Cricetulus griseus: one gene and its partners. The protein of the gene in region 7 interacts with the protein of the main gene of each other region in a pairwise test. Links are inferred from orthologs where the notes say so. Each region holds a gene or a part of one and is shown on either strand. Other genes may lie near its edges. The genes, in order: Tfg, Pitx1, Ca8, Ttc23, Rbfox1, Smap2 and Maged1.

Region 1 (3,500 bases), on a different chromosome or scaffold from region 7:
AGTCATGGGAGGACACTTATTTTCTCAGAAACTGATAGTTCAGATAGGATTTGGTTTTAGACAAAATTGAAAGTAACTGCTAAGAGGCTGGATCTTGAAAATGAAGAAATGAGGACTCAATACAATTTCATTTGTGTTTTCCAAGTTGTGACACAGTTTTGAGAGAATGGGTAATTAAATTAGATAATGTTGCCTTCTTAAAAAAAAAAAAATCCCTGGTGATAATTCAGTAATTGACTTGTGGCTTTACCTAGTACCTGTAAAAGCAGTGGATTTGAAGGATGGTGTTGATTCATAAGCTCTGCATAACTTGTTAATGGATACTTTGTTATTGAGACAAGGTCTCAATGTGTAGGCTTGACTGGCTGCAATTCCTGTGTAAACCATGCTGGCCTTGAACTCAGAGATTCCACCTGTCCAACTGCTGGGATTAACCAAATGCATCACCACACCTGGCTTGATAGGTGCCTTTTGGGAACAACTGTATTTGTTTCTTTTTCTTTTGTTTTCGAGACAGGGTTTCTCTGTGTAACAGCATGGCTGTCCTGGAACTCACTTTGTACTTGAACTTACAGAGACCTGCCTGCCTCTGCTTCCTGAGTGCTAGGACTAAAGGCCTGGCCTGTTTGTGTTAATGAAGTCAAATAGAGGCAAGCTGGATAACATTTGTCAGTCATATTTTGTCTTATTACTTACCTATAGAGAAATGTGTTTTGTATTAATTCATGAATATTACATAGTACAAAATATAATTTGGAAGTTAAATTATTTCTGTTAAAAGAATTTCAGTTTGGTAATTTTCATGAAACTAGAGCTTTCTACAGTATCAGTGTATTTTATTATTATAGTTCTTATAGTAAACATTTTTGCTAGTATCACGACTGGTGGTGTTTCTGCTTCTAGAAAGTAAGCTATAAGCAATTGTCTTTTCCTACAAAAAAGAAAGAAAGAAAGAAAGAAAGAAAGAAAGAAAGAAAGAAAGAAAGAAAGTTACCCAAAGGCCTGGTATGGTGATACAGGCCTTTCATTCCAGTGCCTGAGAGGCAGAGGCAGACAGATCTCTGAGTTTGAGGCTAGACTGGTCAACATAGCAACAAAGTTCCAGGCTGGCCAGGATTTCATAGTAACACACTGTCTGAAAAACAAAGGGGAGGGGGGATGTATTTAAATGACATCAACTGCATGTCTTGTTTTTTGTTACTTTTTAAAGGTATATATTTTAATACTTTTAAATTTTAACATTCTAAAAATAGTTTTAGCGGTGAGGGAGATGGCTCAGTGTGTAAGGTTCTTGCTATTCAACCCTGAGGATCTGAGTTCTGATCCACAAACACTCATCAACTCAGCAGGGGTAGAAAGAAGACAGACAGATCCCCGGGCCTTGCTGGTCAGCCAATCTAGCTAGCTAGTTTAGTGAGAAACCTGTCTCCAGAAGTAAGGTTAAAAGCCATAGAGGAAAACAGCCAGCATCAACTTCTGGCCTCCATGGGAGCACTCACCAGCATTCATACTCCCCATGCACAGACAAGTTAAAATGAATGAATGAAAGTAAAATGACTTATTTCTTCTGATTACTTTTCTTTAGTGTGTTATTTTAATGGCATACTTACTCTAATTTCATCTCCTAAATTTAAGCAAATTATTGATTCCATTTTAGTTAATGGCCAACCAAGACCCCTTGAATCAAGTCAGGTGAAATATCTTCGTCGAGAACTGATAGAACTTCGGAATAAAGTGAATCGCTTATTGGATTGCTTGGAGCCACCTGGAGAACCAGGACCTTCTACCAGTATTCCCGAAAACGGTAAGCTGAGCTTATTTTATTCTATTCTGATGAATTCTTCTACCATGTTTGTGGAGAGAGGGAGGGAGGGTGTGTGTGTGTGATGATGATGATTTGGTAGGAGTAGGATGACATCCTTTGCATCTTTCTTTATTCTTGTCCTTGCTTCTTTCTGTACATGTCAGCATCTGATAGCTGTTTGTTAGGATTACTGTGAAGTTGCATTATACTGCTTCTTGGATTGAATCATAGAGCTATGGGACAACAGGGCCTGCAACCCCATTTTTAAAGTGCTCTATAGGACTGGGGAAGTTGCTTGGTGGAAGAGTACTTGCCTGACATGTGCGGTGCTCTGGATTCAGTCCCCAGTACTGAATAGTAGTAAATTAATGCCCAGGGGATAGCATAAGTCAGTAGTGCTCTTGTGATGGTTTCTTTACATTTAGTCTCAGACACTGAAGTCCATGCGTTAGGTTTGTTTTCAAACCCTTTGATTTCGTGAATTGTCGTGGGATAACTAAGGAATCTTAGGAATTGAAATGATCTTATGATTTTTATGTAGTAAAAACTAAGTTTCAGGTGCAAAGCAATTTTAGATTAGTACTTTAAAATAGTATTTTTAAGTATATTTTAACACAGTTTTTAATAATATGCAAAGGAAAAACTTTTGCATTTTACTGGTGGCATGAACTATTTATAAATAGTAAAGATAATTTCAGGCTTATTGGCACATTTCAAGCTGGTAAATGATCAATAAATATTTGCTGATGAATTAGTAATGTCTAAGCTCACCTTTATTTCAGAATATGGTGAAATTTACTAAACTGTTCTTGGACACTTTTATGATGAAGGCTTATATGCTTCAGAGTAAAGCAATTTGCTTATTCTGAACTGTTGCCCTTTTTTGTTTGCTTTTGTGTACATTTTTGTGTGTGGGTGGAGGTACTCGCAAGTGCAGCATGGTGTTCATGTGCTTTTGGAGGTCACAAGACAATCTAGGTGTCATTCTTCAGGTGCCTTCCACCTGTTGCTTTATGACAGGGTCTCCAGTTGGCCTGGAACTTCACCAAGTAGGCTAGTCTAGCTGACCAGTAAAGTCCAGGAATCTGCTTGTTTCTGCCTCCTGTCATGCCAATGCTGGGGTTACAGGATGTACTACCTAGCCAGCTTGTTATTTGGATTCCAGCATTTCCAAACTCAGGTCCTCTTCAATATAAAGCAAGTAGTACCTCTGGAACAGTCTCCCCAGCCATGAACTTGAGCTTTCTAAACTAAAATCAAGGATTGAATGAAAACATTTTAGACCATTCTCCCAGAAGAATTAATGCACGTTCAAATAGCATGTACATAACCATGTCAAAGATTATGAAGGACAGACCAAAATTCAACCAACATATAGCTATTACCATGCAGCAATTGCCTAAGTGACCCACATTCTTCTCTAAGGAATAGAACTCTGTTATATAGTGTGTGTGGAATGTTCTTGGGCTATAATCTACTTGGTGGATTCCAGGCCATTGAAAGACCCTATCTCAAAAAGCAAACTGGACAGCTCCTGAGAAATGTCTCTGGAGATTGTCTTCTGGCCTCCATGTACATTTGTGTTAACACACACACACACACACACACACACACACACACACACACACACACACACACACACACAATTGGTGTTATTGCTATGATGAAATACCATAACCAAAAGCAACTTGAGGAG
Region 2 (4,004 bases), on a different chromosome or scaffold from region 7:
CTGCCAAAAGCCTGATCATAGGAGGTGTAAAACAAAGGCGGAGGTGGAAAAGGTAATGGGCCTTGCTGGGCTCTTGGGGTCTCCAGCCCCACTCACCACGGCCTAGAGCCAACAGAAACGTTTCGTCTGATTAGAAGCCATCATTTCTATCCCAATCCCGGAAAATTGACTGCGGTGCAGACGAAGGCCTGAGAAGCAGCCTTAGGGGAGAGTGTCCAAGCTAATTAGAAGACTGCATCCGGGGGCCCATTAGAGCTCGCAGGCTGCTGTCACTCAACCGGCCCGAGTTCCTGGGAGAAGAGACTGGGGAAGGAGGGGCCGGCGGCCCCTCGAGGACACCGCTGGGAGCTGCGGGAGCCGGGAACCGGCCCTTGGCTCGGCCCCCCGCCTGGTGCTGGCTCGGAGGCGCGGGCTCAGAGCGATCCTGTTCGGCGGGCGAACCTTCACTCATCCTAGGTTGCTCTCGCCAGCGGCTGGCGACTTCGAAGCGGCCCAGACAGGAGTTGACTCTCAGCGAAACAAGTCATTTGGGGCCCCAAGGTGGGCACCAGCCGCGCGGGACTTGCAGGCCAGATGCGTTTCTTTTGTGCGGCCGAGGCAGAAGTCGGTGTGTCACCGGGGAAGGAGGGAGAGGCGCGGTGAGGCCGCGGGGGGGGGTGAGGCGGCGGGAAGGTGGCTGCGAGGGGGAGGGCGCGGCGAGGCCGGGAGGGAGAGGGAGAGAGGGAGGGAGGGCGGCGGAGAGGGCGCGGGCGGGCGGGCGGGCGGGCGGCGGCTCGGGGCTGGATTCCGCCGCGCTCGCTCGCTCGCCGCTCGCTCGCGCCCTCCTCCTTCTCCCCCAGCCCCCCCACCGAGGCCCACCCACCACCCCTGGCGCAGGGACTGCTGGAACCTGGCGGCGCGCGCTGTCGTTTTCAGACAGACTCAGCGGGCTCCGTCCCGAGCCTTAGAAACCGGCCTCGAATCCGGAGCGGGGCCCGGGCCGGCCGGGCGGCTGAGGCCGGAGCGCGTGGCGGAGCACGGAGCCCCACGCCCGGCCCCGCAGCCCCGGGCGGTCGATGGAGCGCGGGCGGCGTCGCTGCTGGCGCGGGCAGCCCTGGGGGGCAGCCGCTTAGGCGCCGCGCTCTTGTCCCCAACAGGTCGCAGCCGGGGCGGCCGGGCGCGCCCAGCCCCGGCCCCTGGAGCGCCCGCTGCGGTCCCCACCTCCATGGACGCCTTCAAGGGAGGCATGAGCCTGGAGAGGCTGCCGGAGGGGCTGCGGCCACCTCCACCGCCGCCGCACGACATGGGGCCCAGCTTTCACCTGGCCCGCGCCGCCGACCCCCGGGAGCCTCTGGAGAACTCGGCCAGCGAGTCGTCCGACACCGATCTGCCAGGTAAGCGCGGCTCCCCGCGGCGCGCACCCAGCGGCTTGGCGCTCGGCCGGGTCCCCCTGCGCCTCGGCATGGGCATGCCGGAGCTTTCTTTTGCCCGGTCTCGACCTGACGGTGAACGCGGAAATTTACACACGCTCTCGCACGCACACGCGAAGCCGCTTCCAAGCAGTCCCCACACGCCAAGCCCAGAGTGGGACTGACAGCCTCTGTGGAACAGGCGCAAATTGCACGCGCGAGGAAAAAACAAAACAAAACAAAAAGTTGAGTTTTCCCTAACTGATCGCTGAGGAGCCGCTGGGGCGCAGGGCAAACAGCAGATGGAGAATGGAGGGGAAAGCGAGACAAAGTGCCCAGAGAGACACAGGCGGGCGACACCTTGACAAACCGGGAGGTGCAGAAGGAGGAGAGGGTCCTAAAGGAGGGGTAGGCGCACAGAGCAGGTTAGAAGACAGGGGTCAGTCAAACGGAGCTCCGGGGGACAGCGAGAGCAAGCCGGCCAGGAGGCGCGGACTGACTCCGGAGGAACCCTGCTGGAGGGTCCCGGCCCACGTGGACGCCCGAGCTCAGAGCCACCAAGGGTCCAGCCAGAGCGGTTCTAGACTGACCCCACAAATTCCGCGCTGCCTTTTTCTTTTCTTTCCTTTCCCTTTTCCTTTCCCTTTTCCTTTCCCTTTCTTTCTCTTTCTCTCTTTCTCTCTTTCTCTCTCTCTCTTCTTCTTTCTTTCTTTCTTTCTTTCTTTCTTTCTTTCTTTCTTTCCTTCTTTCTTTCTTTCACCCAAGAGCTGAGCCTTCGACTGGGCGGCTTCGGCTGTGGCCGTTTCCAGGCCTGTCCTGTCTCAGAGTGGCTGCGAATCCGTTGGGTCCCAACCCCGGGTGGCCGCGGAGCACCCGGCTGCCCGCTGTCCCGGCCCTGGGTGCCTCATTGATTTAGTCTGTTTGTTTCTGTTTTGCATCTCTAAGTGACTTTCCCCAGCCGGTCTGTTTGCTTGGTTAGAAAACAAAGCTTTGCCTGTACTTTTGTTTTCAAAAGTTTTAAGCGTGGTGTTTGTTTAAAATTCAAAAAAGAACATAGTTATACATTGCTTTTTACATCAAATCAGCGGGGTGGTTAACAATTTTAATCGTATGCTTCCTTTGAGACAATTCATTAGGTGTATTTCTTTGGAATTTAAAATACATACATACCGCATGATTCTTGGAGCAAAATTTAAAAGTCAATTCAAAATGGCGCATTTCTCTGAGATTTTTTTTTTCAAAACCCTTTTGTAGCAGTTTTATTTTGTGAATTTAAATAGTATAGCTATAACGTATTTCTCTAGGGTTCGAAAATCTCTACCAGGGTGTTACTGTGAAGGGGTCTAAAACTTATTTGCAATGATGCATGGATTTTTTTTCCCAGAGAAATACCTATGTGACTGGTTTATACACATTTGGCCTTGTATTTAGTTTAGGGGTGTGTTTGCACGAATGGTTTTGACTTCTTGATTTACATTTGCTCTGGTTCTGTCTGCCTAGCTTTGAGGATTTGTGGACCTTTGTGTTTTTAGGTGGAGAGCTATGAGCTTCTCTAGGCTTCTGTTTTGTTTTTTTAATTCCTTTTCTTTATATTTAAATGTTATTGGCTGTGCGCATCTCCTGTAGCTTTAAAGAGACAGAGAGGCACGGTCACTTACACAGAACCTGTCTTATCTAGGCTGCAGTTGGTGGGTTTTCTAGACCTTGGGACCCGAGGCCGTTGTGGCTCTGACACAGCTCGGGCAACAACGTTTCAGCTGCTGCTGGGCTCTTAGCCCACAAATCTACTAGCTTAAGTTGGAAATTTCTGGTACTAGTTCAGAAAAACAGAGATGTTCCGGGAAGATTTACACCCGCAAGAGTCTCCAAACACAGTGTGCTTTTGCTGGTGACAGGAGCAGCCAGGCCGCAGCCAGCGCGGGCTTCAGGAAGCAGGCTCCGCCTAGCCGGGACCCCAGGTCCGGTTGGGGCGTCTGGGCTCTTCTCGGTGGCACACCAGACCTTGAGGTGCCTACTAAGGACCAGCACCCGGCCCGCTCTTTTCCAGTGGGGGACAGTTCCTAGGGTCCCTGGTCGGAGGGAGGGCAGCCACCACTCCCTCCGGCTTCGGTGGAGCCGGGACCGGGTGCAATAGTGTTAGCCCGAGGTGACTCGCGCCCTTCCTACCTGCTGCAGACAAGGAGCGCGGCGGGGAAGCCAAGGGGCCCGAGGACGGTGGCACGGGCAGCGCTGGCTGCGGCGGAGCAGAGGACCCAGCCAAGAAGAAGAAACAGCGGCGGCAACGCACTCACTTCACAAGCCAGCAGTTGCAAGAGCTGGAGGCCACGTTCCAAAGGAACCGCTACCCGGACATGAGCATGAGAGAGGAGATTGCGGTGTGGACCAACCTCACTGAGCCGCGAGTGCGGGTGAGCGTGGGGCGCGTGCAGGGCTACCCTACCCGCGGGACACCTCTGGCGCGGCCCTCGGTAGGTCAGACTTAACTCTGACCTCGCAGACCTCCCCCTCTTTCATCCGAGATCCCACAGCTAGGCCCCTGGGCTGCTACTTTCCGAGCCCTTTCACCTAACCCGCTGGAGCCACTGCACCCCTTGTCAGACCCTGTCCCTACCCCAG
Region 3 (3,979 bases), on a different chromosome or scaffold from region 7:
AGTGAAGGATAGGAATCCAGCATCTCAAAGTCCCCCAATTAATCATCTCCATCCTGTTTGAGGAACTAGCATGCATAAAGATGTAACGATCTAGGAACCACAGTCCATTAATCTGCTCACAGACATTTTGGAGTGTGCACAGGATATATAAAAGGTAAATTGTACGCCAGGCCTGCAGCCGAGCTTATCATACAAATATATCTCCTAAAATGTGGAGAACAGAAGCTTAGGGGTTACTGAACAGGGCTGGAACACAGAGATGAAGCATTAGCCTGGGGTTGGGAAACATGTTCCAGAGGTAACGACTTGACCTCTTTGGATCAGGGAAAGTTCCTGTTTGTTTCGTAATGTGTGCATTTCATTATTTGCACGATTTCACGAGTTGCTTGGGAGCAGTGTACGCAGTAAGGTGAGTCTGAAGCAGCACCCCGGACTTAGAAAGTGGAATCAAACACCCTGTTTCCTTGTCTTTGAAATACATTTAGTAAAGACCTCCCAAAGTATACCTACTTCTTGATGCTAAATTCGTCCTTTTCTTTTCCTGAAATGTTTGTAGGAGTTTCTTGAGGGAAAAAATGCTATGCACATTTTCACTGTGCTCTAAGGACGAATTAAAAAGTAAAACCAGCTCACAGGACAGCGACCCAGGCTGTGGTGGTGCATTCTTGCAACCCCAGTGTTTACGAAGTTCAAGGTCATTCCTTTCTCCACAGGGAGGAGTTTGAAGCCAGCCTGGTCTCCTTGAGACCCTGTCTTACAAAATCAAGCCCCAACAAAACTAACGGGTAAATGATGGGGAATAAACCCTTTGACCACAGTCTTATTGAGTTCTCGGTCTTCAATGCCCTTCCCATGCCAAGGCCACCCATCCGCTCATTTCAGGACATTGCCTGGAGCAAGGTGAGGCGCCCGGGCCAGGCGGGTCCTGGGGTCGCGCTTGGGCGCAGCAGGCTTCCTGGGGTGCAGCCACCCCAGCTCGGCTTTCTGCTGGCGGCTCTGTTGGGGGGGGGAGGAGGGAGGGTGTTAGTAGGGGGCGGGTCTTCAGGCCAGACACGCCCCCACCGGCCTTAAAACGCGCCAGCCTGAGTCCAAGCCGCCGCTGCTCGCGCTCGCGGGGACTGCCACGCTCCGCGCGGCCCCCAGCCCCGCGCCTGCCGCACCCGTGCCGCACAGCTGCCCATGGCTGACCTGAGCTTCATCGAGGATGCAGTTGCCTTCCCCGAGAAGGAGGAAGACGAGGAGGAGGAGGAGGAGGGCGTGGAGTGGGGCTACGAGGAAGGTAGGTTCCTGGGGCTGCTGTCGCTGCTTCTCTGCCCGGCGCGGTCCGGCGCCTTCCTCTCCGAGGCTGCCCGTCCGCAGTTCGCACCTGCTGCTCTCAGGCAGCCCAGCCCGGAGCAAACCTAGTTGCTTCCTAGTCTTGAGAAGTACAACCAAATGCGCCAAATGCGTCCCGAATTCAAGCTGGGTCAGTGTTCTTGGAGACTTTAAAAGGAGTTTCCTAAATCTGTCCCGGAAGCCCAGGACTCCTAATAGACATTAGTGCCCATGTTTACTGTATACAGAGGGAAAAAAGCGCAAAGGAGTCCATAAACATGTGCATGGGATACTGTATTTGCTTTTTAAACAAGTGTTGCTACTCAGCACCACAGGGTTTCTGCTGTCTCTGAGCATGTTGAACATTGCAGATATTTTCTAAGTATTGCATGTAATTGAACTGATGAGCAGAGGAAATTCTTGTGGCGTTTTTTCTGATCACTTAAAAATGACTTACGTTTCCCAAATCCCTAAAATCAAGGCATCTGTGTGCACAGATATAAACACACAGTAAAGAATTTCGTGTGTGGTATTATAAATATAAACAGATCACTCACATAATGAATGTAAAAACCCATACACATTTCTCATATTTCATTTATATATAGATGGTAGTCATAGCTATAATATCAAGGATTATGAGTTTTTATGTTATATTTTATTGTTGCTAACTTAAACAAAACCTATTCTCAATTTTTGTTATTTTCTCCTCAGGTGTTGAGTGGGGCTTGGTGTTTCCCGATGCCAACGGGGAGTACCAGTCTCCTATCAACCTAAATTCCAGAGAAGCTAGGTACGATCCGTCGCTGCTGGATGTCCGTCTGTCTCCGAATTACGTGGTCTGCAGGGACTGTGAAGTCACCAACGATGGACACACCATTCAAGTTATCCTAAAGTCAAAATCAGGTATTTTGGAAAGTGTGTTTCTGCGCTTTTGTGAGCAAGTGGACAATCTCTGATTTAACTTACAGGGTCTTAAAGGGGGCACCGATGCAATTTCTATCTTCATAGTTCTTTACAAGATGCATTTTCTGGGAATTATATTCTGAAATAGCTGTGAAGGGCTAAGAGGGTGAAGTGATGGCTGTCTCAGCTGGCTGTTCTCCCAAAGCTGTGCCTGGAGCCGCCTCTGTTGCTTGAACAAACATTTACCGAACTGTGGGGAAAGCAGTACATACACAGGCATGTTTATTTGAGTTTTTTTTTTTTCTGTGCATCTTGTTCAAAATTATTGATTAGCTGAAATCATTTAATTATAATTCTTCGTTTTTCTGGTTTGTGAAACCAAAGATCAGAATTTATTGATGTTGTTCATGTTCAAGATAAACTTTTCAAATTAAATTTCCCTTCTCTATTAATGTCAAGAATGATTTTAATAACAGTTCAACCCAGCCAGATATTTAAATGGAAACCTAGCTGGATATTTAAATGGAAGCTTAGCCAGATATTTAAATGGAAACCTAGCTCTTGGTTTTGTTTAGTTTTACACACCCTTCTTCGTGAACCTAGTTGAAATGGATCTGAAATGGTTTGTGGAAAAATTAAATTTCCAGGGAAATTGGTTTTCAGCTTAATTGTAGGAGAGATGAAAGCAGATTAAAAAAACAAGCATTAACATTGTGTTTTTCAGGGGGATAATGACCGTTTTCCTCCTGGAAAGAATGGAACATTAGAGTATGTTGGATGTTGATGTGAGCTTTAATAGGCTGTGCTTACGTTAACTTCAGATTGATAGGGTAGGTATTTTAAATCATAAAACCTTTAGGTCTGACATTAGGCAAGGAAGGTACGGATTTCTTCCTTTAACTTATCATGTTTCGGCACTTTATTTGAAATCTGTGAGATAGAACATGTATTCTTTGAGGCTGTTGTAAGTTTAATCAAGGTTGTGATGGCTCCTGAAGCACAGTCTGTGTTTTGTATAGAGTTAGTATATTTCTTCCTAAGTTCCTCCTATGTCTTGGAGATGTTTACCTCTGGCTATGGTATATTTTACATTACCATATACTTGGTATACTCCTTTGTCCTTTTCCTCCTCTGACTTCCACTCCTGAGTGGTAGGAAGAACCACCTGTATTTCTGTCCTGCTCCAGGTTTTGTCCTCCAGTCCTCTGGGACTTTCCTCCCTCACATGCTCTGTTCTCTTTCTGTCACTGCAGTAATTTCTCCTTTTCAATATTTCAGCAAACTTAAAAGTTAATTGGTGGTGTGCATGGTGGCACACACCTTTAATTCCAGCCCTCCAGAAGCAGAGGAAGGTTGATCTCTGTGAGTACAGGCTAGTCTGATCTACATAGTGGACACTTATCTAAAAAAGACAAGTAACTGAAAAAAACAATGTCTTGAGTAGTTTATTACCTTTTTTAGGATATTTCAGCTTCTGTAAACTCTGAACACCATTATTTATTTAAGGAAGTATTTTCTTTATCAAAATGGAATACAGACATAATTTGAATAGTTGGCTATTTCTTTATTTTCTCTACCTCTAGCTACAGCCTATCTCACTCCTCCTACAACTTGTTTTTCTCTAGCAACAACTACTTTGAATCTCTAAGAATTATTTTTTGTTTGCTGAAGTCATAATATAATTTCATCATTTCCCTTTCCTTTCTCCAAACCCTCACATATACCTTTTCTTGCTCTTTTTCAAACTCATGACCACTTT
Region 4 (3,500 bases), on a different chromosome or scaffold from region 7:
TTCTGGACTTTCTGTTCTCACGGTGAATGCTTAGGAAGCCGAAAGTAAACATTCCATGGAGCATGACATCATGCTTTGTCCTATTTATTTGTGCCAACATGGAATAGGAAAATAGGAGCTGGTCAGAAAATAATATTCCCCGATTATTAATGTTTGCAGATACTAAGACATACAGGGGGAAAGCCTGAACTTCCAACACATCCTGAAATTCTTACTGGATCTTCCACCTGAAAACATAGTTATGGTTGTACAACGTGAATGCTGAATTCAACAGTCAAATAAAGCCAGGACCACAGAAAGGGATTCCCATAGCATAGCCCTGGTATGGGTGGATGGGGGCACATCCCGATTCCATGTCGTAGACAGGCAGACATGTGAATGAAGAACATGGCTCCTTTTGGGCAGTAACGTGAGTTAGTGACTGGGTTGGCACATTAAGGGTGGTAATGAGCAGAAATCAACTTCTCAGGCAAAGCAACTGTGTAACTTGCCAAGTGTGGCTCATTGCAGCACTCAGAGGTCTGGGATCTCCATGCATCCCCCTCCCAACACCTGTGAGGTGGCTTTCCCATGGGATTTGACTGCTGGGCTTTGGGAAGTCAGTCAGTGATGGGGAGAAGGGCTGGAGGTTCTTCTCCTGAATGAAGCTTTTGACACTGCTTCTGTTGACTAGGGAGACTAGGATGGGTGCGTGTCAAGTTAAAAGACACATTCTGATGACAATGGAAAGCAGATGGGAAAACTTAATGGGAAGAACCAGAATTATTAAGAGCAGTCATAGCAGGGAGGTGTTAGAAAGGGGCAGTATGGGCTGGGGAGGCAGATGGTCTTTAAAAGTACCTCAAGCATAAGGGCCTGAGTTCAATCCCCAGAACCCACATAAAAATGCCGGCTGTGGTGGTGTGCACCTGTAATCCCAGAGCTAGGGAGGCAAAGACAGAAGGCTCCTGGAGCTTGCTGGGCAGTTGGTGGTGGCAAAACCTTTAATCCTGAGCACTCAGGAGGCAGAGGCAGGGGGAGCTCTTTGAGTTCGAGGCCAGCCCTGGACTATAGAGCGAGTGCCAGGATAGGCTTCAAAGCAATACAAAGAAACCCTATCTCAAAACAAAACAAAACAAAACAAAACAAAACAAAACATCAGCAGACTCTGGACATTGGGAGGGTCATGCCAGCTTTGCCATGAGGGTATTAAGGTTCATTGGAGAACCAAATGAGTGTTCGATGTTCAGGTGTGCTTTCAGAATCTGAACAGATTAAGGTAAAAGTGGGGAGGAAGCACCTGGGAAAGAGAAGATTCTAGAGTGGTCCTGATGAGATGATGGATGGTGGGAGGGGAAATGTTAAACCATGTGTGTGTTGAGGAAACTTGGAGGTGAATGAGGAACCTGTGAAGTCCCCATAGGACTAAGATGGAGTCTCGGGTAGGAATCCGAGGCCCTAGCAGGGCCCTGTATCTTTGGCTGGGTGATTCAGAAGAACAGTGAAACACTATTTGTTATGGTGACTGTGCATTTACTCTGGCCTGACAAATGGAATGAGTGCAGAATAAAAGCCCGTGGTCCTTAACTGAGAGAAAAGAAGTCAAGGATGAGGAAAGCGTAGTAGGGAGAAGACAACAAAGACAACTCCAGACAACAAAGAAAGACTACTTTTCATCTTCATCTCCAAGATCTGCTATGCTAGACTGAAAACACACATACACACATAACACACACACACACACACATACACACACACACACATACACACACACACACACACACACACCACACACATGCACACATCACATATACACACACATACCACACACACACCACACACATACACATACATCACACATGCACACACATACCACACACACACACACACACACACACACACACACACACACACACACAGCACACAGCACACACACACACACACCACACACCTCTAAATTATCTACTTTCTTTTCCTGGAGCTGCTCTGACTTACACGGAAATTTTTTTTAGTATACTATAAGCTCTGGCTTTGTCCTACCTTTCTAAGTCATGTTGAGCATGCCTTTACAGACCAGCAGCAGAGACAGTGAGCTGGGACCTCTGTGCTGGGTAGTTTTTGTTAGAAATGAAAATTCCATTCAATATACAGAAGAGGAAAAAAGGAATTGACCACACTGAGGGCCACAGACCACCCCAGCTGGAAGAACCTTGGGCTTCAGTGAGGGCTCTTGCCCACTGAGTTCTCAAGGTTTTCAACCCTTCGTGACCTTTTGTAGTTGGATGTAGCATTTAATTTCTCACTGTTTTGTTTCTAAGAGGAAGCATGTGGATGCTGCCTGAGAGTGGCTCCTTGATTTACTTACCTGGGTCTCTCCAGAGGCTAGGACATGCCCTGTATATACTAGGTGTTTAACAGATGGTTGAAGGCTGAAAGAGTAGTCTTTGGCATCCCGTAGGAATAGCTTGACAATTGTGATCTAAACTCACTTACTTCTTTTTGTCCAGTGATCTGCAGAAAATTGCAAAATTCATCTTGAATGGAAAGGAACTTGACTCTTCCTGCTCCTTCAGAATCCTTCACATGAGTCATGCTTTCCTGAAAATACTGCTCGGCCATATCTGAAAAGAGCACAGAAGAACATTTTGAAAATAGCTCAAAGATCCAAAGCAGAGATGGAGCAAATATGTTGTTAGTGACGGTGAAAGGTTTAAAAATAACCATTTGGATAAGAGAAGCCAGTTCGAGGGACTCTCTTGTGCCCGTTAATCTGCTCATTTTATCAGAAACTATTTTCACCTCAGAAGGATACAGCAAGCTATTTTTCTTGTTTTTCAGACATTTTAGTGTTCTTGGTGATATGAGGGGCAGGGAGGGGGAAGCTATCCCAGAGCCGAACACACTAGGATATTGATAGAACATTTTCTCTGCCTAGAAATCAGTCACTCCTCACAACCCATATAGTTCTGTGGACTCTTTATATTTCTTTAACACACACACACACACCAAAAAAAAAAAACAAAAACAAAAAACAAAACTAGAAAATCTAGCTGATACACTAGCGAAGAAAAATCCCAACCATTCTAAACTCTTTTGGGGGGCGAGTTTCAAGACAGGGTTTCTCTGTGGCTTTGGAGGCTGTCCTGGAACTAGCTCTTGTAGACCAGGCTGGTCTTGAACTCACAGAGATCTGCCTGCCTCTGCCTCCTGAGTGTGCTGGGACTCAAGGTGTGTGCCACCACTGCCTGGCTCCATTCTAAACTCTTAAACACACTGATTGATAAAATAAAAATGGTTTGACATAAATGATAATCAGAAGAGCAAGAGAAGGAAGATCGAAGGCATGGAAAATGGAAAGGGAATTGAAGACCAGAGCTGTGACTACACAACCCTCTGCTGTTGAAACAAACACCTGAGATAAATCAGCATAAAGTAAGGACAGCTAATGGTACTCACACTGTTGGAGGTTCCAGCCTGTGCCCCAGCCTGTGGCTCTGCTGCGTCCCGTGATGGGGCAATGG
Region 5 (3,500 bases), on a different chromosome or scaffold from region 7:
CATTATAGGACTATTGTCCAATATCAGATGGCTATTACCACTCTAAAGTGTAATTATTGCATATTTTATTTGTAAAGCTCAATGTCGTGTATGAGGGTCAAGTAACTGTCTTGACTGTGTGTTAGGTTTATTCTGTGAAAATTGATAGAGTATGAAATTGCTTCCTACTTATACCAATGTGGACCCAACATACTGGAATTATTCCAAAGGTTGGTGTATATATTTCTAAACAAAATGTAGAAATATATTTAAGGATTTTAGGAATAGTATGTCAGATTTTTCTATACTCATCATAGAAACAGTGTCAGTAAAGAATGAAGATGGATTTTTAAAAAATGGAATACTGGGGTTGGTGTTAGAGGCTGAAATATTAAAAGCAAAAACTGTACTTGTGATGCAAACAAGGGCTGTATTTGATGTTTATCAGTCAAAGAGGATGGGTTCAGATGGTACATAGATTCTCCCATCTAGGAAATGTCTTTACTTTGGTACCTGTTGACATAGCAAGTGAATGCCAGCCTAGAGCCCTAGAACTTTGTTTTTTGGTTAATAACATAATATAAAAGGTCAAATTCTAAAGCCTTTTATTATTTGGGGAAGGGGGAGGGCAAAGTACAAATGTAGAATGGTACTTGCTTATCTACATTGTTAACCAAAAAAGTTTGTTTCTATTCATTTCATGTGATTTTTCTTTTGTTTATTAGAACCACAAGTTCAAAATTTATTATAAGAAAAGGTCTTTCCTTTTTTAGGCTTGTTACTTTTATTTTTGAGAAGCAAATGCTGTACAGTTGACAGAATCGAATAACCTTAAAATTGCATGAAGAAGAACTGTTCTTAAATCCACGCAGCATGACTCCGTAGGCAATGTGACAGGACTTGAGCATTCACTGTTGAATTCCCGTGCACACGTTTTATTTTGTTTGATTTTTTAATTTGCATGTCAAGAAACTGGTTCCCTTTCTTTTTCCTCATTATTTCATTTATTCTCTGTGAAGACACTGTACATTTATTTTGATCTCGTTTTCTTTTTGTTTGATTTCTTTTCTTTCATAGTGATGTTTAGAAAGGTATTTTTTTTGTTTGTTTGTTGGTTTGGTTTTCGTTTCCATATCCATCTTTGAATTCTTTAGGGGTTCCAGCTAACTGGTGACAGGAAAAAAATCTCGTTCACATTTGTTGCTTAATGACTGCACATCGTAGTGTTCTTATAATTTCTCTAATTTGCATGTTACAGAACTGAAGCCAGGACAAGAAATAGCAATGAAAGCGAGAGAACTTTACCAAGTGGTCGTTGACTGAAATAATAATATGCATGTTGTTCTCCTTCTCCCTCCTGCATGCAGGGATTTGGTTTCGTAACTTTCGAAAATAGTGCGGATGCGGACAGGGCGAGGGAGAAATTGCACGGTACCGTGGTAGAGGGCCGTAAAATCGAGGTGCATGTCCAAAATATTTTCCTTTCCTCTTTTTTTTTTTTATAAATGTCTGCTTCACGCTCATTTGTCCTTCCAGGTGCATCATTGGTGTCTCGTGTGTGACCCTACTCCCTTCTCATTGTTTATATATATTTATATATATATATTTAGATATAAAAAGGAAAACTGGCCTTACTTTCTGTTAAATTTTACTTTACATTATTCTTTATATTACTGCTGGAGATTAGATGGCAAAAAAAAGTGAGATGAAAGGGAGGTTAATATGAAAGGTTCTGTCTGTTTGTTTTATTTTATTTTCCATGTTTTATGAACAATGGGTGCAATAGGTTCCAAAGAGGACACAGTATCCAAACAAAACCAAATATATATCAAGTTTTGTTTTATTTTGTTTCCTTTTTAGTCCACTTTAGGGTTGAAGAGGGATCCACAGTGGTTTGCAAATTAGACCAAATTTCCAAGGCAATGACATTTCAAAATATTAAAACAGAAAAAGTGAGAGGCACTTGTCATTAAATCTTGCTGTTAAAAAAACAAAAGCCAGCTTCAATTTCTGCATTCAATGATTAGACATTGAATAGGCAATCAGCATTTCCCGCTTAAGTCATGGCCCCTGTCAATTGGAAATGTAGACCCTTCGTTCTGACATTCAGCACCTGCCCTTTGTACCACTGGGTTCCTCTTCAACACAATCAAAGGGTCATATTTGTTAAAACTTGAAAAGAAAAAAATTACCAGTTAAAAATGCTTTAGTCTTTGGAGTAAGATGTCGCATATTTTGCCTTTTTATTTTCCCCCCTCGACGGTAACGCTTAGGCCCCTCACCAAACCCTCAGTAACCATGGTAACTGTATACAAACCCATGCTGGCGATGGTGGTGAATGGTAAGTGATGAAGTCCATCTGCCGCTTCACGTATTTAGTGCTGATATATCTCTATACATATCTCTCTACCACGTGGATTTTTTTGACTTGTTGTATTAAGTTTTCTTGATGCTCTATTTTTTTGGGTCTTTGGTACGCCTGTAACTGAGTGTACGTTCTAAGCTAGCCTGAGAGGCTCTGACTGGACTGAGTTATGACCAGTGCACATCTTACTCAGATCGTTAACTCCATATTGTGTTACACAATGCACCCTCTCTTTTATCCTTTTGTTAGCTGTGACCTTAAAGCTTGAATGATTCGTTAATTCTTGCAATGTAAAAGGCTCTTGTTCCAAGTGTTGAATGCTAGATGTTGCTTCCCCATGGTTTCCCTTCCCAAAGTGTTGCACACGGCTTAAACTTGTCTGTCCCTTTCTTTGACATTTATGTTCCCTGTACTTTGTCTCCTCTCCCTTCTCCACTGCATGCCCCTTTCATATTAACTTTATTTTCTGTTTAAAAACCTATCTCTTGTTTCTGTGTTACCATGGAGCACACGCATGCTTTTAAATCTTCAATTATGCATTATCTTTTAATTTGCTTTTACTGTCTCTTTATTAAACTTTTAAATGAGATGACATTGCTTTATTGAAATGATTTGTAAGTTAAATCTGTTATGAAGTAAATGTAATTATAAAAATGTATGATTTTTGGGTTATGCACCTATTGCCATTTGTAAATTAAAATGCATTTCAGTTTTTGTTTAAGTTTTTGTTTCTTGGTTTTGATTTCAATAAGTAATCACAGTCATAATGCATGCAACTAATTGAATCATGGGCTGGCCTTGGCATCCAAACTCACTTGAGTTTTCTATGTGTGTAGGTTAATAACGCAACAGCACGTGTAATGACTAATAAAAAGACTGTCAACCCATACACCAATGGTAAGTAGATACCTGCCTACCACAAGATACCTTCTTTGCCTACAAGTCCACAGTGTTCTTTAACCAGGGAATCTGTTTCTTTTTCATTTTATTCTTTGAAAAGTATTATACATGGATACATTTTATCTTACCACATGTACTCCCAACTCCCCCCTCCAATCCTTCTAAAGAATCCACATCATATCTCCCATCCAACTTCATGTCTTACTTATTCATGTTAGCCCACTGATTTCAACTAGGGGTGATGCACTGGTGTCAA
Region 6 (3,500 bases), on a different chromosome or scaffold from region 7:
GTTCAGTACATTATCATCATGGTGGGACAGGGCAGCATGCAGGCAGACATGGTGCTGGAGAAGGAGATGAGAGTTGTACATCTTGCACCGGCAACAGGAAGTGAACTGAGATACTGGGCATGGATTGAGCATATATGAGACCTCAAAGCCCGCCTCCACAGTGACAAACTGACTTAACATAAGCTATAAATTCATTTCTTTTTCTCTACCCACTATCCCCCATTGTCTTACACTTTAACAACATTGCCCAGGCTGACCTAGAATTCACTACCCAGGTAGCCTCAAACTCTCAGCCAGCCTTCTGCTAAATTCTGGGATTATAGGTATGAGCTTTCACAACTATACATGAGCCATTAATTCTAATCAGAAATGGTAGAAGTATCAGAAACTGTAAGGGTTCTTACACAGGCAACAATTCTGATTGTTCTGCTGCCCTCTATGCCCTAAGGCTATAGGTTCTATGCCAACCAATTTTCCCACTGTCCTCTGTGCCCTAGGGTATAGGTTCCATGCCCAGTGGTTTTCTCACTGCCCTGGGCTGTGGGTTCCATGCTGACTGATTTCGCCACTGTCCTCTGTGCCCTAGGCTGTGGGTTCCATGCCAACTGCAGGGAGTGCTGGTTCTGTCCCTGAGAACCTGAACCTGTTTCCTGAGCCAGGGAGCAAATCAGAAGAAACAGGCAAGAAACAGCTCTCCAAGGACTCCATCCTCTCACTGTATGGATCCCAGACGCCTCAAATGCCTGCCCAAGGTAAAGTCTGTGAAGTCACAGAGGTGCTCCAAGGACATACTGAGAACAAACATGCAAAATTATAGAATTTTATTCAGCCATAAAGAAAAATGAAATTTGTAAACAGTGGATAGAACTGGAAAAAATTTTATTGAGATAACCAGCCTTAGAAACATACATACCACATGTTTTATTTTGCTCTCACACAAGTAAACATGTGTGCTAGAATCCACATATGAGAGTAATTAAGGCTAGAGTCCAAGAAACTAGAAAGGGCCCCATGAGAGGGAAAGGCTCTGTTCACACATATGAAATGAAATGGAGAGAGAATACAGCAGGGATGGGATCCAGCATGATGAGGGAGAGGGTCTGCCCGGGAAAAAGGAAGGACTAGATAAGAGCAAGGCCCAGTGGTGACCTCAGAGAGACTTAAAGAGAGTTCACCCTGCTGCTTTGCTGTGGAGAACAGGATTCCAAGTTGAGTAATCAGAGAACTTCCGGGAAAGGAATAGCTGGTGAGTATTTGGGCTAACGTGTCTTTTACTCTTTAACAGACCCTTATGTGTGTTTTCTTGGCAGCAATGTTCATGGCTCCTGCTCAGATGGCATATCCCACAGCTTACCCCAGTTTCCCTGGGGTTACACCACCTAACAGTATCATGGGGAGCATGATGCCACCACCAGTAGGCATGGTAGCTCAACCAGGAGCCTCTGGAATGGTGGCCCCCATGGCCATGCCTGCAGGCTACATGGGGGGCATGCAGGCTTCCATGATGGGTGTGCCCAACGGGATGATGACTCAACAGGCCAGCTACATGGCAAGCATGGCAGCTATGCCCCAGACTATGTATGGGGTTCAGCCAGCTCAGCAGCTACAGTGGAACCTTACTCAGGTAAGCAGCCGTACTGTACCTGGGATGGGACTTGAGAGCCTTCCTGGGTGTCCCACCTGGTGCCACTCCTTTATCCCCCAAATCCTTTCCAAATGGACAAGCTAATGCCAGAGATATACCTCATTTTATTTCCCTAGAAGGCCTGGATGAAGTCAGACTTTTTGAGGGTTCCTAAGTTCCCAGAGAACAAGACCCATAGACTGACTGAGTCTCCCCACACCTAAAAACAAAACAAACCTCTACAGACAATCAGGGGGCACAAGCAAAAGCGCTAGTACATGATGCATGACATGACATTAAGGTTAGGAGCACCCTAATCCCACGGAGCCAGAGAGGAGACTATGCAGAAAGAGGAGAGAGAGCAGAGGCCTAGAGGTGACAAAGCCAGAAGGAGAAAGGCCCATCCTGGTGGAGGCATACTGAGAGCTGGCATGGCAGAGTAGAGCTCTGATTACCTGGGGCCTCACAGACATGGGAGTGAAACACACGGGCATCTAGGTTGGTGACTTGGAAAGACATTGTATGTGTGGAGGCGGGTGTGACATAGGAAGAGGAAAGTCTCTGAAAGTCTGGAGGTGATGGGAAAGAAAGAAGTGAAGAATGGAATAGACAGACAAAGCAGAAGACACACCATCCATTCATCTGTGTAGTCATTCCACAAACAGGAGAGGGCGCTCTGGAATGCCTGTCTGTAATATCCCCAAATGCTCACGTCTGTTTGCATTGTCACTGCCTCAGAAGAATGAGGTGCTAGGAAGTTAGCAGAACGTGGTAGCTGGCGAAAGTAGAAAACAAAAGTCAGAGTACATGATCCCACCCCACGCCATGGAGCTAGGGGGAGGAGAGAGCTTTCCCTAAGTGCTACCCTGGTAAACTGACCACTCTCCAGTAGAAGACCATGTATCTGAGACTATTTGGTTAGCACAAATTGTTCTTGAAGGATTAAAAAAGAAGAAAGACACACACAGCTGAGAGAGTAGGGAAGTTGGGTGAATTGGGGAAGTGTTGGGGTGAGGAGTAATTATGTTCAAAACAGGTTGCATGAACCACCCAAAGAAGTCATTTTAAAGTTGAAGAATTGCCGGTAATGAACCCCCCTCCCAATTATGAAGCAGAAAAAACATGTTACACATTCACCAACCTGAATGAAGTCCCCTTAAACAAACATTTGCAAATAAGAAAAACTGATTGAGGGCTGGAGAGATGGCTCAGTGGTTAAGAGCACTGTCTGTTCTTCCAGAGGACCCGGGTTTAATTCTCAGCACCCACATGGCAGCTCACAACTGTCTGTAACTCCAAGATCTGACACCCTCACACAGACATACATGCAGGCAAAACACCAATGCAAATACATTATTTTAAAAAAAGAAAGAAAGAAAGACTGCTTGAAGCCAGGTATGGCTGCTGGCACCTGAATTACCAGAACTCGGAGGCTGAGTCAGGAGAACTGTGAAAACTGCAAATTGTAAAATGGAAGTTCACTGCATTAAGGGCAAATTGAAAAAAAAGACAAAATAATATCAGAAATAAAGACTAAAGTAAGGTGAATGGATTCAGCTGAAAATATATTTGATAACAAAAGGCATGGACCAGGTGAGAGAAGGAAACTAATTATAAAAAAAGGTGTAGTGTCCATGTTCACATCCCCCCACAGACACATACACAAACTAATAACAAAACAAAGGAGTAAAAGAACCAGACTGGAGAGATGGCTCAGCAGCTAAGAGCACTGGCTGCTCTTCCACAGGACCCACCTGGCAGCTCCCAACTGTCTGTAACTCCAGTTTAGGGGAACTGATGCCCTCCGCTGGCCTACACAGACACCAGGCACACTCATGGTACTCATTCAAACACAGAGACAAAACACTCATACATA
Region 7 (4,137 bases):
CTAGTGAGGCCCGCCTTTGATCCCCACTGCTGTTCTCTTCCACATTCAAGTTATTAATCTGCATCGTAAGAGAAAAGAAAATTCCAGAGTCACTATTAATCCTTGGTCCTCCCAGCAGCTAATCTAGGAAGTTCCTATGAATTTTCCACCTATAAGGACATTCTGACCCTTCACTAGTCATCGGTCACTTTATGTTTATTTTTCATTGTCTTTCAGGTGGGAGATTCATGTCCAAACCAGACCAAGAACAACCATAAAGTGGGGACTAGGGCTTCTCCTTTTCCTGTGTGACTACTGCTATCATCCTGAATTCAAGCCATCTCATTTCATCCTGTGTTTTCTCTAGCTAGTGAGGTGAAGCTTCAATGATAATTTGGTGTGAGCCAGCCTAGCTTACGACCTCACCCATGGTGTTTACTGTCAAAATGTAAAATGACCTATACACAGGTGGTACGGTGATCCAGATTATCTGTCCTTGTATAAACTCACCATCAACCTGTGGACAATCAGGGGTCAGGAATAAACATTTACCTCAACACCCCCTAAAACCTAGCCCCAATACAGGTATATGCGCCCTTTATTTTGTTTGGAGCTAAGTAAAGCTAGGAGGGATCTCACCTTGCGGGTCCTCTTGCCCCGAATTATAGTCCGAGACTCCACATTCTGAGCCTGGGAGCCATCGGCTGAGGTCTGTGCAGCTGCACCACCAGTTTCAGAGATACCTGGGCTGGTCCCTACATTAGCCATTTTGGCCTGGTTTACATTCTGGATCTGGGCATCAGCTGCAGGGACCTTAGTGGTATCATTCCAAGCCTTAGTAGCTGTCTTAGGCTGGTTGTTGATCATCTCATTGGCACTGGGAGACTGAGAGAAATTGTAGGTGGCACCAGGGCCTGCCTTAGTAGTGGTATTCTGGACCTTAAAGGCTATTTCAGACTTTTTAGCTGCTGATTTGCCTGTGGTTGCTCCGTGGGAAAAATTAGAGGCAGCATTTGGCCCTTTAGAGGTGCCATTATGTGACTTATAGGCCGCCTTAGACTGGTTCTTGGACATCTCCTTGGCATTACGTGCGTGAGAGAAATCATTTGGACCCTTTGAGAAGGTATTCTGGGCTCTAAAGCCTGTCTTAGGCCTAGCAGCTGCTGTTGAAACCCCAGTATCAGCCACCTGATTGGCAGTTGGGGGCTGTGAACTCTGGGGACTAACATTCTGCCCACTGGCAGCTGCTGTGGCCTGGTTGGTGGGTGGAGCCTCGGAGATCTGGATGGCTTCCATCAAGGTCTGCACAAGCAAGGCGCTGTCTTCTACAGAGGCCTCAGCCTGCAAATACAGGAGGGGGAATTTCAACCTCTGGGCCTTACAAGCCAGATCAGAAGGAGGGGCATACGCAGCAGGGGAGCTGTAGACACGCATCGCAGTTCACAGATCTGGGGGCACAGAAGGGTCAAAGGGAGGCGGGGTGGGAACAAAATTTGGTTAAGAATAGAGGGGGCAGGACAAGGTGAGGGCAGTCAGAGGCAGCAGGGACTGGTGAGGAACCGTGGTGCAACCACTGACCCCAAACAGGTTCAGAGCCGGACTGGTTAGGCTTGCGGTGGGGAGCTCAAGACCCGAGGAGGAGGAGGGAGGAATCGCGGAGGATAAGCAGGGAGGGTGGAGGGGGAGTCTCGCGGCGTGGAGAAAGGGAGGGTGGAGGCGAGAGGTTGGGGGATGGGGCGACAGACTGCTCTACACGCGTCAGGGTTATGGAAAAAAAAATGGTTCCTTACCCAACCCGCATTCTCTGGGCAGAATGCCCTGACTAACAGGGTCTCCCCTTTCTCTAAGCAGGGACCGATGGCTGAAAAGGGACGCCCCTCCCCCCATTCGATAAACGCTAGACATTTGAGAGCCAGCGGAGTCTAGGCCGGAAGAAGGGCAAAATCAGAGCCTGCCATTTGTGCCACCAAAGGGGCCGGGGGGTGCGCGTAATCTGTCAGCAGGGAAAATGGAGGAATGGGGAGCGGGGATCTCACCTGGTAGCCGCGGAGGCCTGCACCGCCGTCCGGTTTCTGAGCCATAGCTCTTGTGTCTCTGGCAAGAGCAGAGCCTAGGGGGGTGTGGGAGAGGAACTAGGCATTACACTACAGAAGGAAAATACGTAGGGCCGAATTGTGTGTGCGTGTGTGGTTTGATGCTGGGGGCGGGTGAGGTGCTGGATAAGGGGAGAAACAAGCCTAATCAGAGCGGGAAAAGTAAATGAGCATCCTGATGGGCAATTTAAAAATTCCAGAACCCGATAGGGAAAAGCTTCAAATCCGCGTTCTGGAATCTGATAAGAGCTCTGAATGCGGCAGTTTTCGGGGGGCGGGGGAGAGCGAGGGGGAAAAATTCGCTTCTGGAAAGTTGGATTGAGGTTCTCAATCAAAAGGAATCTATAACGGATCAAGGTCGAGAAATTTGAGGATTCTGTGAAGGAATGGGATAAGGATTCAGAGAATGAACGGGGTTCTAAATTAGATGGGGGGGGGGGTAAGAATCAGGGATCGGGTAGTGGAGGGGGTTTCTGAATCCAGGGTAAAGGGATTGGGATAAAAGAATGGGGGAAGGATGCCACACCAGGGGGCAGATGCCCAGTCTGGGGGCTAATCTCACCTTGCCTCAGGCCCCAACCCCAACCCCCTTGCTGTCTCCCTTCTTCACGACTCAGAGGATCAGGATTGCTGTGCTCGGCTCTCAGCAGCCGCACTCTCTCCTTGTCCAGGAGAAAATGCCAGCGCGGCAGCTCGGGCGACCCCGCCTCTTCGCCTAATATACCACCCACCGCCTCAGGAAGCCTCGCGCATGCGCAATAGCTAACTGTCCAAATAAGAGTCCCGCTTGCTTTCCCAACAAAAGCTTCATCCTAGAGACCTTGTCGCGCATGTGCACTTGGAGGAGATCCCGCCTCTTTGCCAACACACTATCCCACCGCCAACCAGGTTGACAGTGTACGAAGGTTCCTCCCCTTCTTCTTACGCACCCACTCCTCCAACAGATGCGCAGCGCCTTTTGGTCCCACCCCCTTGCCCAACACACCAGCCCCCTACCTTTATCCGCAATGCGTCTCTCCTCAGTCCCTCCCTTCCCCCCCCACCCAGGACTCTCTAGCCAGGCCTGCAAGTACCTCCCACCCCTTGCTTAGGGCCTCTTAGGTAGGCCTCTGCGGGGGGTCTCTTAGTTCGCTGCAAGCTAGGCCTCTGCTGAGTTCACCCACTTTGCAACGCAGGAACCTTAAAGGTCGGCCTTGGGGGGGATACATTCCAGGAGGTAGCAAAGCAAGTGCCAGCCAGGGGGTAGATTTCCTCTGACCAGACTCAGAAAATGAGCTTTTCTCTTGCCGCCCTCCCCACCCCGTTTTCTTTTTATTTATTTATTTATTTATTTATTTATTTATTTATTTATTTATTTGCAGTTTTGCCATGGAAACATTTCATGAGGTGTGGGCCAGAGAGGGGAGGGAAAGGCATAAGGGCAGTGGGATCTGTCCTGGAGCTGGTTTTTCTCGAACATCAGCCCTAGAAGATTGATGGAGGGCAACATCTTCATTTTGCATACCAGGTAGCTAAATCATAAACCCACTGTATGAACCAGGGCACTGAGCAAGTAACAAACAGAGAGGGCAAAATTTGGCACAGCACAGTGGTGCACACTGGTAATCCCAGCACTCTGGAGACTGAGTGAGGAAAGCCACGAGTTCCAGGCCAGGTGCACAACGCTGAGACTTTATCCAAAAACCAAACATGGGGCGGGGCGGGGGGGTGGGGTGCGGATTTTCCTGACTGCAAAATCTATATAGCTATTAGTGCTGGTCTGAGAATCAAGACACCCCTTAATTTTTCATTGAAATGACAATCTTTCCTCTCCCCAATATTTGTTCCAAGTGGACAAAGCCTGTGTTCTAAGAGGCCTAGTATATGTGGGAACCCTTCAGGTTCACTCTGTACTCCCGTTGGCAGGCACTTGCCCAGAGTGAGACCCCAGGACTTGATGATGCTTGCTTGAGGCCGGAGCAGTCAGGTGTGTCTGTTCTGTTCTTGCAGAATGAACCTCGGCTGGGCTTTAGAATTGCGTGATTAGTGTCGGGACTATCTGTCCCTGGTTATGTGAGCCCCTGAG

Evidence for each region.
Region 1: the proteins of Maged1 (region 7) and Tfg interact in binary tests that used the Homo sapiens proteins (3 or more experiments, as listed by UniProt). The two-hybrid records come from large-scale screens. The link is inferred for Cricetulus griseus from reciprocal best matches to the Homo sapiens genes MAGED1 and TFG.
Region 2: the proteins of Maged1 (region 7) and Pitx1 interact in binary tests that used the Homo sapiens proteins (3 or more experiments, as listed by UniProt). The link is inferred for Cricetulus griseus from reciprocal best matches to the Homo sapiens genes MAGED1 and PITX1.
Region 3: the proteins of Maged1 (region 7) and Ca8 interact in binary tests that used the Homo sapiens proteins (3 or more experiments, as listed by UniProt). The two-hybrid records come from large-scale screens. The link is inferred for Cricetulus griseus from reciprocal best matches to the Homo sapiens genes MAGED1 and CA8.
Region 4: the proteins of Maged1 (region 7) and Ttc23 interact in binary tests that used the Homo sapiens proteins (3 or more experiments, as listed by UniProt). The two-hybrid records come from large-scale screens. The link is inferred for Cricetulus griseus from reciprocal best matches to the Homo sapiens genes MAGED1 and TTC23.
Region 5: the proteins of Maged1 (region 7) and Rbfox1 interact in a two-hybrid assay, tested with the Homo sapiens proteins (2 studies listed by BioGRID and IntAct). The link is inferred for Cricetulus griseus from reciprocal best matches to the Homo sapiens genes MAGED1 and RBFOX1.
Region 6: the proteins of Maged1 (region 7) and Smap2 interact in binary tests that used the Homo sapiens proteins (3 or more experiments, as listed by UniProt). The two-hybrid records come from large-scale screens. The link is inferred for Cricetulus griseus from reciprocal best matches to the Homo sapiens genes MAGED1 and SMAP2.

The regions. Positions count from the first base shown.
Region 1 is NC_048597.1:35,455,611-35,459,110, forward strand, and holds part of Tfg (protein TFG), read left to right. Parts: intron 1-1,657; coding exon 1,658-1,804; intron 1,805-3,500. UniProt on the Homo sapiens protein: Plays a role in the normal dynamic function of the endoplasmic reticulum (ER) and its associated microtubules. Required for secretory cargo traffic from the endoplasmic reticulum to the Golgi apparatus.
Region 2 is NC_048596.1:274,817,914-274,821,917, reverse strand, and holds the start of Pitx1 (pituitary homeobox 1), read left to right. Parts: upstream 1-1,204; coding exon 1,205-1,373; intron 1,374-3,563; coding exon 3,564-3,796; intron 3,797-4,004. UniProt on the Homo sapiens protein: Sequence-specific transcription factor that binds gene promoters and activates their transcription. May play a role in the development of anterior structures, and in particular, the brain and facies and in specifying the identity or structure of hindlimb.
Region 3 is NC_048595.1:152,453,388-152,457,366, forward strand, and holds the start of Ca8 (carbonic anhydrase-related protein), read left to right. Parts: upstream 1-1,179; coding exon 1,180-1,279; intron 1,280-2,028; coding exon 2,029-2,220; intron 2,221-3,979. UniProt on the Homo sapiens protein: Does not have a carbonic anhydrase catalytic activity.
Region 4 is NC_048596.1:129,512,652-129,516,151, forward strand, and holds part of Ttc23 (tetratricopeptide repeat protein 23), read right to left. Parts: intron 2,601-3,500; coding exon 2,473-2,600; intron 1-2,472. UniProt on the Homo sapiens protein: Participates positively in the ciliary Hedgehog (Hh) signaling.
Region 5 is NC_048600.1:39,362,281-39,365,780, reverse strand, and holds part of Rbfox1 (RNA binding protein fox-1 homolog 1), read left to right. Parts: intron 1-1,346; coding exon 1,347-1,439; intron 1,440-3,180; coding exon 3,181-3,241; intron 3,242-3,500. UniProt on the Homo sapiens protein: RNA-binding protein that regulates alternative splicing events by binding to 5'-UGCAUGU-3' elements. Regulates alternative splicing of tissue-specific exons and of differentially spliced exons during erythropoiesis.
Region 6 is NC_048595.1:31,195,823-31,199,322, forward strand, and holds part of Smap2 (stromal membrane-associated protein 2), read left to right. Parts: intron 1-586; coding exon 587-752; intron 753-1,310; coding exon 1,311-1,624; intron 1,625-3,500.
Region 7 is NC_048604.1:75,451,632-75,455,768, reverse strand, and holds the start of Maged1 (melanoma-associated antigen D1), read right to left. Parts: upstream 2,801-4,137; 5' UTR 2,635-2,800; intron 2,090-2,634; 5' UTR 2,061-2,089; coding exon 2,016-2,060; intron 1,321-2,015; coding exon 619-1,320; intron 59-618; coding exon 1-58. UniProt on the Homo sapiens protein: Involved in the apoptotic response after nerve growth factor (NGF) binding in neuronal cells. Inhibits cell cycle progression, and facilitates NGFR-mediated apoptosis. May act as a regulator of the function of DLX family members.